Linked DNA regions of Oryctolagus cuniculus. The protein of the gene in region 2 interacts with the protein of the main gene of each other region in a pairwise test. Links are inferred from orthologs where the notes say so. Each region holds a gene or a part of one and is shown on either strand. Other genes may lie near its edges.

Region 1 (4,489 bases), on a different chromosome or scaffold from region 2:
TGTCCACACTGGCCCTGAGCAGAGAGAGTGTCCCCGTGGGCGCTGCCCTCGCTGGCCCTGAGCAGAGAGTATCCCTGTGGGCGCAGTCCACACTGGCCCTGAGCAGAGAGAGTGTCCCCGTGGGCGCTGTCCACACTGGCCCTGAGCAGAGAGAGTGTCCCCGTGGGCGCTGTCCACACCGGCTCTGAGCAGAGAGAGTGTCCCCGTGGGCGCTGTCCACACCGGCCCTGAGCAGAGAGAGTGTCCCCGTGGGCGCTGTCCACACTGGCCCTGAGCAGAGAGAGTGTCCCCGTGGGCGCTGTCCACACCGGCTCTGAGCAGAGAGAGTGTCCCCGTGGGCGCTGTCCACACCGGCCCTGAGCAGAGAGAGTGTCCCCGTGGGCGCTGTCCACACCGGCCCTGAGCAGAGAGAGTGTCCCCGTGGGCGCTGTCCACACTGGCCTTGCCTGTCCCCGTTGGCAGTGAGGAGCAGGGGAGACTTGAACATGTGGTCTGTGTGGCTCCTGTCACTCCACCTCTCGTGCGCAGGGCCCAGCTGTGTCACGGTGTGGGTCAGGCCTTCATCCTTTAGTTGTGAGAGGCAGTGAGCCTGGGAGAGAGAGAGCACCCACCACTGACTCGCTCCAGACCCCTGCAGTGGCTGGGCTGGGCCGGAGCCCTCCCTGGGAACTCCGCCCAGGCAGGAACCCACGTACTCGTGCCGCCCCCCGCTGCCTCCCAGCGTGTGCATAGCAGGAAGCCGGATCGGGAGTGGAGCCAGGATCGGGCCCGGGCGCTCGGATACCATACGTGGGTGTCCCAAGGACATCTTAACCCAGGACAAAGGCTCGCCCCGTCGCTTCGTTCACTCTCCGGGCTGGATAGCGTTCTGTCGCAGGGTAGACCTGTGGTTCAACAGGAGCGAGTGGGGGTCAGGTGACAGACGCCGCGCCACCCCTGGTTCGCTGTCTGAGCCACACAGGGAGCCTCGTGGGGATCCCTCGGTCCTGCTGGTGGCCACAGCTCAGAACCTCAGCCCAGGGGACGCCTGCCCATGAGCGACACAGCAGGTGCGCGAGAGAATATTCAGGAACAGCAAGGGGCAGGGGTGCATCGAGGCTTGGGATGAAGGCGCAGTCTCGCACCATTTAACGACACCGACCTGTCCCGAGCGGTGCTTTGCCGTTGTCTGTGCCTCAGAGTGGCCTTAACCTAAGGGCTGTGACGTCCCCAGTCCTTATGGGATCCCATCACGCCTGTGGTCCGCCCTTGACCCAAGCCGCACGGTGCCGTGTGTTCCTCGCACAGAGGGGAACGGGGTGAAGGACCGGGACTTCCTGGTGCAGCAGTGGACACCTCCCTGTCGTAGGCTCGCGGGGAGGCGGCCGGAGAGGGGGCCGTGTCCTGCTGCCCAGGAAGGCCCTGGGCTGCACTTAGCCCGGATGGGGAGCCTGAAGCCACAGCCGGAGGCTTCCTGATAGAGTCCCCCCCCCCCCCCCCGCCCAGTTCCACAAGGATGTAAAGGACGCTCAGGAGCTGCTGCACAAGGTAGACTCGGACCTGAACCAGAAGTTCAGCCCCGACTTCAAGGACCGGTACCAGATCGAGCTGCTGCTGCGGGAGCTGGACGTGAGTGACGGCCCTGCCTCGGCCCCTCCCCCCGGGGGCGGGGCCGGTGGGCTCACCAGAGCGGCCACTCCCTGCAGGACCAGGAGAAGGCCCTGGACAAGTACGAGGACGTGGTGCGGGGGCTGCAGAAGCGAGGCCAGCAGGTGGTGCCGCTCAAGTATCGGCGGGAGACCCCGCTCAAGCCCATCCCGGTGGAGGCGCTGTGCGACTTCGAGGGCGAGCAGGTGAGCAGCCCTGGCCCCCAGCTGCCCTTTCCCGGAGGGCGTCTCCGCGCTGTCACTGCAGCCCACGCACAGCCCCACCCGCCCGCCCTGGCCTTCTTACCAGCTCAGCAACCCCAGGGACGGCAGCAGGAAGTCCCAGGGAGGGCTGGCGCTGGCCCTGGTGAGCCCCGTGGCCACCTCGGAGCAGGCACTGTGGCTGGGAACACCAGCCTCTCGCTGGCTAACCCTCATGCAAATACTGGGAACGGGGAGGGAGGGGAGGCGGGCTGCTAGCCCAGCAGACCCCCCCCCCCGGCCCTCCCCACCTGCGGGGCTAGAGCTCTCAGGAGGGCTTGGGGACGGCTGGGGGAGCGGGGGCGAGACGGCCCGGGCCGAGGCGGGTCTCCCGTGCGCTGACTGCCGGGCCCGCCCTCGCCAGGGCCCGATCTCCCGGGGGTACAGCTATACGCTGCAGAAGAACAACGGCGAGAGCTGGGAGCTCCTGGACGGCGGCGGGAACAAGCTGACCGCCCCGGCCGTCTGCTTCATGATCCCGCCCACTGACCCCGAGGCCCTGGCTCTGGCGGACAGGTACAGCCCGGGGCGTCTCGCCCAGCAGCAGGGGGTCACCAGCACCTGCTGCCCTCACCCCAGGGAGGCGCAGGGCAGGGCAGGGCAGGGGGCCGGGAGGCAGGCTGGTCTGGCTGCTCTGCTGACGGGGCCTGGGCAAGGAGCAGCTTCTCTGCCGGTGCCCCCGGGCCTCTGCAGGTGCCGCTAGCTGCCAAACAACTCGGGCCGGTCCCTACCCCTCCCCTGGGGTCTCACACAGCTGCACTGCTGTTGACTCAGCAGTTTGGGTGTGGGTTGGTCTGCTTGGGCCGGGGCTCACAGCATGTGGCACCTGCAGGGCCCAGCAGGCACCTGGGAACGCTGGGGAGTGAGTGGTTCAAGGAATGCCTTCATTTACGCATCCAACAACTGCTTACTAAGCACCTACTGTATACCCTCCCTCGGGGCTAACATCCTGGGGGGAACACCAGTGAACACACAGAGGATTTTGGGTAGCATGACCGCCGTGAAGCGAGGAGGAGGAGGAGGGAGGCGGTGGCGGAGGGGGGGCGTGTCTTTCTGAACCCAGGAGCGGAGATGGCGGGCGAGTGTCGCAGCCGGCCCTGGCCGTCCTCATCAGGCCTCCAGCCTCACAGAGCACTCGCCGAGTTGCGGGGTCCCTCTGGGCTGCTGACGCCGCCAGTGCCCGCCTCTCACCTCCGTGGCCGGGGGGATGGTGGGCTGCCCAGGGCTCCAGCTCGTTCTTGCCCACAGCCTGGGCAGCCAGTACCGGAGCGTGCGGCAGAAGGCAGCCGGGAGCAAGCGCGCACTCCAACAGCGGCACGAAGTGTTGAAGACAGAGAACCCTGGAGGTGGGCGCTGGGGCCCCCTGCCCGAGGCCCTGGGGGACCAGGTTCTGTGCTCTGGCCAGGGTGGTGAGGGTTGGCACCACAGGGAGAGGGGCAGCTGCCTGCCCAGTGGTTCCTCCTGGCCCCTGAGGCCCCTGGCTCTCACCTCCCAAACCCCAACGTGACCCATGTGCCTCCTTGGCAGATGCCTCGGACCTACAGGGGAGGCAGCTGCTGGCCGGCCTGGACAAGGTGGCCCGCGACCTGGAGCGGCAGGAGAAGGCCATCACGGGCATTCTGCGGCCGCCGCTGGAGCAGGGCCGGGCTGTGCAAGACAGCGCCGAGCGGGCCAAGGAACTCAAGGTACTGCTGGGCCGGGGCACAGACCGGCCCTGGGCCCCCACTCACCGTCAGGCCCCTGTGGGGTCCCGGGAGTCCACGCAGGTGCTCACTGCACGCAGCCAGGCACCATAACCGGATCCTGAACCGGTCGGGGAGGCACGTTGCTGTCGCCACCCCAGGTTCTAGACCAAGGACCAGGCCCTCGGCAAGGTGCCTGGTCCTGATGCCCCCCACCCCCAGACACGTGCCTAGGCGGAGCTGGCAAAACCCGTGTGGCCTCAGCGGGGCTGCCCAGCACCTGCTCAGCACCCGGCCCAGGCTCCCATCAGCAGTGGGGTTTGCCACTCTGAGCTGGGCTGTGCCGGGCTCTGGGATTTCAGCTCGGCCGCCAGCTGCCTGAGCCCAGACACACCACGGAGGGCCGCCGGCTTCCCCGACTCCAGCTACCTGGGCCGGCCCCGACTCTGGGGCACCTGGTGATGTGTGGAGCCCTGGCAGGTGCCTGGCGCCCTGCACCTGCTGCTTCTACAAGTGGTTTCCCGTGTCTTCCCAGCAGCCTCTGCGGTGGGGCTTACCAGTCCTACCTGAGCCACTGCTGGCCACACCTGTTGGTTCACAGTCCACCTTCACCGGGCTTCCCTGGCGTGCCGATTAACAATGCCGGCTGCAGGCTGGTGCCCAGGCTCTCCAGCCTCTCCCACCGCCCCTGAAGCGCTGGGGTCTCCTAATGCCCACCCCAGGACCATCCCTGGGGAAGCGGCTGCTGACCTGGGGGGTCTGGTCCCCACAGAGCATCGCCGAGGAGCTGCTACGTATCGAGCCCGAGAAGACGCACAGCACGGCCGAGTGTGACGCCTTCGTCCAGGCCCTCCCAGGCAGCGGCTCAGCGCCCTTGCTGAAGACCCGCGTGGAGGACACCAACCGGAAATATGAGCGCCT
Region 2 (4,489 bases):
TTCCAATGGCAACTTTTAATTCACGCATCCAAAAGTCTGCGCTCCGTACCTGCTCTCTTCGCCTTCCAGCAGCTTCCTGTAGGTGGCGATCTCAATGTCCAGAGCCATCTTGACATTGAGCAGGTCTTGGTACTCGCGAAGGTGGCGAGCCATTTCTTCCTTCATGTTCTGAATCTCATCCTGCAGGCGGCCAATAGTGTCTTGGTAATTAGCAGCTTCAACAGCAAAGTTCTCTTCCATTTCACGCATCTGGCGTTCCAGGGACTCGTTCTGGAGGAGGTGAGAAAGGCTTCAATGTTATTTCCTAGAAAAATCCGGCTATTTCCAGAACCATGTACAGATCATTTGCCATGTTTTTCTGAAGTGGCAAATGGTGACCACTGTAATCTTAGATGGAGAATATTAAGTACCATATCCCTCTACTAGAATTAATGATATAAGAGTGGTCTTCAAAAGTTCATGGAAAATGTGTATTATGAAAAACCATGCATGGATTTCAAAAGTTTATGCATCAAAAACTCACCCCCAAAAAAGGAAACACTTACCTTTTAATTCTATTTTCCATGAAACTTTTGAAGTTCCCCTAAATGTAAGCTAAAACCTTCAAGATCTCCATCTACTGCTTTTTGAGTCTTTCTTGATAACTCATTTTCTTTGGTGTGTCATATTTTTTTCATTTAAAATTTTGTTTCAGATATCACTGTTAGTTTGGTCAGTAGAATGGGCCCGAGCTCATTCTTTTCACTCTTGCATTGTCGTGTGGTACTCACAGTTCCTTTAAGCGCATCCACTTCGCAGGTGAGGGACTGCACCTGTCTGCGGTACTCATTTGACTCCTGCTTTGCCTGGCGCAGGGCATCGTTGTTCCGGTTGGCAGCCTCAGAGAGGTCAGCAAACTGTTGGAAAGACATCAGTAATGTAGACTGCCCACATTCAAGAGATCACACCATTCTGCCCCACTGTCTACACTTAAAGCAGAGAAAGAGCAGTGGAATGCTGATGCTGACAGTTTCAAACAGAATTCATTTGTACTTTTTTAAAAATGGTGAAGGTCAAGTGCAAAGTTTTGAGGTTTTCTTTGAAGTAGGTGGAGGAAGATTAGCAGAAAGGGAAGCTGCTAGACTACAGGAAGTGATGTGAGCAGTAGGGAGGCCGCAGCAACAAAATTTGAATAAGTGAAAGCCAACTTTTTTTTTTCTTTTTTTTTTTATTTTTATTTATTTATTTATTTATTTTTTTTGACAGGCAGAGTGGACAGTGAGAGAGAGAGACAGGGAGAAAGGTCTTCCTTTTGCCGTTGGTTCACCCTCCAATGGCTGCCGCGGTCGGCACGCTGCGGCCGGCTCGCTGCGCTGATCCGATGGCAGGAGCCAGGAGCCAGGTGCTTTTCCTGGTCTCCCATGGGGTGCAGGGCCCAAGCACCTGGGCCATCCTCCACTGCACTCCCTGGCCACAGCAGAGGGCTGGCCTGGAAGAGGGGCAACCGGGACAGAATCCGGCGCCCCGACCGGGACTAGAACCCGGTGTGCCGGCGCCGCAAGGTGGAGGATTAGCCTAGTGAGCCGCGGCGCCGGCCGAAAGCCAACTTTTGATTGGAGCTAAAATCTATCTAGGAATTACCGGCAGGTGCAGTATTTCCAGATCGAAAAAATACTTTTCTTTTGTTCTGACCACACTGCCTCATTGCATACCTTGGACTTGTACCATTCTTCTGCCTCCTGGAGGTTCTTGGCAGCCACACTTTCGTACTGCTGACGTACGTCACGCAGGGCAGCTGTGAGGTCAGGCTTGGAGACATCCACGTCGATCTGGACATGCTGTTCCTGGATCTGGGCCTGCAGCTCCTGGATTTCCTGAGAAAAGGACAGACGGGAGGTCAGCCGTGCCAGCTCCGACAGCAGCTCTGCCCTCACTGACTCTCTAAAGGCTGCTCCGCTTACCTCATCGTGCAGTTTCTTCAAAAAGGCAATCTCTTCCTGCAAGGATTCCACTTTACGTTCAAGGTCAAGACGTGCCAAAGAAGCATTGTCAACGTCCTGTTTTCAAAAGAGAAAAGACAGGGCATGGGGGACGCTGATGCGTAGGTTTAGCTCACTCATTCTTTTGAAATTAACCATACATATCCCGTCTGGTCTCCTTACTGTGGAAAACATGGTTGATAAATTTCATGATCCTCAAATAAGTTTACAAGTCACTTAGTACTATGCTATGTTGTATGCTTTTTGAGTTTGAATTTGGACCCACTGTGCTGTACTCATGGTGCCTAATAGCCAATTTAAAATAGATAAATGTATGCCAACATTGTAAGCTGCACTCTATTATTACTGAGCCCATATTTTGCCAGTAAGGCTTTATTATTTTTTTAATCTAGAAAATCAATGCCATAGCATTTTCAAAACTTTTTTTTGTAATTTCTTGCAATAACATGATAATAGAAGTAAATTGGACTCTACAATTTCATGTCCATAAGAGTACATGTAGAGAAGAAGTTTCAGCACAGGGCAAGTAAGTGCTTGGCTGAGCAGTTAAGATGCCCGTCCATGGCTGGCGCCGTGGCTCACTAGGCTAATCCTTCGCCTAGCGGCGCCGGCACACCGGGTTCTAGTCCCGGTTGGGGGCGCCAGATTCTGTCCCTGTTGCTCCTCTTCCAGGCCAGCTCTCTGCTGGGACCAGGGAATGCAGTGGAGGATGGCCTAAGTGCTTGGGCCCTGCACCCGCATGGGAGACCAGGAAAAGCACCTGGCTCCTGCCATCGGATCAGCACGATGCGCCGGCGCCGGCGGCGGCGGCCATTGGAGGATGAACCAATGGCAAAAGGAAGACCTTTCTCTCTGACTCTTTCTCTCTCTCTCTCACTGTCCACTCTGCCCGCCCTGTGTCCCGTGTCCCATATCAGAGTGGCTGGGCTGAAAACTCGCTGGGCTGAACACTCGCCACTGGCTCTTGACTCCAGTTTGCTGCTAATGGGAGGCAGCAGTAATGGTGCAGAATAAGTGGGTTCCTGCTGCTCGTGTGGAAACCCTGAAATGAGTTCCCAGCTCCCAGCGTCAGCCAGGGCCAGCCCTGGCCATTCAGGGGATTTGGGGAGTGAACTAAGGGATGGGAATTCTCTCCCTCTCCCTCCCTGTCTCTCAAATTAATTAATTTTTAAAAAGTTTTGGCATATCTGTAAGTTCTTTTTCTTTCTTCAAAGCAACTACATGGTTAATTGCAAGGCTAGATTTATACCAAGTAGCCACCCAATGCTGAATTCAGGGTGTGCCTTCACAAAGGTGCAGTTTAGGCAATTAAGGAATAGAAATTTGAACTATATTCGCTTTGCTTTCTCTGGTGGACTATTCTGAAACTCCCTGACTTGTCCTTTAAGGGCGTGTCCGTCTTTGTACTTGCCCGGTGTTGATTCAGTTCCTTAACCTGTTTCAGAATGGTCAAATGCTTGCATGTAAGAATCTTTGCAGCTCTTGCTCTCCTTCTACATTCCAATTAAAAATGTGTGATCTTGCAGTTAGGATTTCATTTCCACTCAAGGGAATGTGCTAAGTTAGGTCCTTATACCCCTTCTCTTATAAGCAACTACATTTGGGGTCCAGTTTACAGTTTTCTAGTCTTAAAATGTTGAGACACTTCTAAAACCATCATGCAAAAGTGAATAAGGAGTGAGTGATAATAAAAAGACCCAACTTGGAAAAAATTAGTGTTTTTGCTTCTTGTTAAGCACAGGAAAATATAGATATTTTACTTCTTATATCATTGAAGAGAATGAGGATTTTTTCCCTTATTTTTTTCCTCAACGGGGGATCTATTATATCATGTTATGGGGGTAAAAATCAGGAACAGTGATCAGAGGCAGCAACCACACATTGCTGTGTTTCGATTAATGAGGCAAATCTTCAAAATGTTATCCTAGACTGTTCACCTGAGTGTGTTTGGTAGCCAACCCCAGTGAATGTTCCAGAGAACCAAGCCATGATGGGGATCTTCCTGTTTTAGGATTCCAATTGTAAGTTAAAATTCCTTTAAGTCCATCTAACTTTAGAGCCAAAAAAAAAAAAAAAAAAAAACACTCTGCAGTTATTTTTGTTGATGGAGATAGTGTCAAAGACCCCCATACAGGTCTTTCAAAACACAAAGAATGACTGTAGCGTGTGCAAGGTTTCACATCGCAGCCTTCCCAAGTCTGGGCCAGAGAGTAGGTAGCTGATGTTGGCAAATACTTCTGTCCAATGAGAACTGTGCTTACATCACTACATTCTCAATGAGAATGTAGCCTGCAGCAAAGCTGTTCTGGGAACACAAAGACTCCTATTATGTCTGTCTAGGGCCACCACATTTGCCAGCACGTCTGTATCTACATTCCTGGTGAAGCCCATGGGAACCACTAACACCCTTCAGCTGAGCGCGCAGATGGCTGTGCCTAGTGATAACTTCCACCTAACTTGAACGCCACAATAGACTTGCAGAGCAGGGAAGCAGCCTACTGGCTGCATGC

Evidence for each region. The genes of interacting proteins can lie anywhere in the genome.
Region 1: the proteins of VIM (region 2) and PPL interact in binary tests that used the Homo sapiens proteins (3 or more experiments, as listed by UniProt). The link is inferred for Oryctolagus cuniculus from reciprocal best matches to the Homo sapiens genes VIM and PPL.

What each region holds. Positions count from the first base shown.
Region 1 is NC_091450.1:30,767,137-30,771,625, forward strand, and holds part of PPL (periplakin), read left to right. Parts: intron 1-1,485; coding exon 1,486-1,608; intron 1,609-1,685; coding exon 1,686-1,832; intron 1,833-2,250; coding exon 2,251-2,402; intron 2,403-3,134; coding exon 3,135-3,232; intron 3,233-3,413; coding exon 3,414-3,571; intron 3,572-4,340; coding exon 4,341-4,489. UniProt on the Homo sapiens protein: Component of the cornified envelope of keratinocytes. May link the cornified envelope to desmosomes and intermediate filaments. May act as a localization signal in PKB/AKT-mediated signaling.
Region 2 is NC_091444.1:43,372,840-43,377,328, reverse strand, and holds part of VIM (vimentin), read right to left. Parts: intron 2,037-4,489; coding exon 1,941-2,036; intron 1,854-1,940; coding exon 1,692-1,853; intron 897-1,691; coding exon 771-896; intron 271-770; coding exon 50-270; intron 1-49. UniProt on the Homo sapiens protein: Vimentins are class-III intermediate filaments found in various non-epithelial cells, especially mesenchymal cells. Vimentin is attached to the nucleus, endoplasmic reticulum, and mitochondria, either laterally or terminally.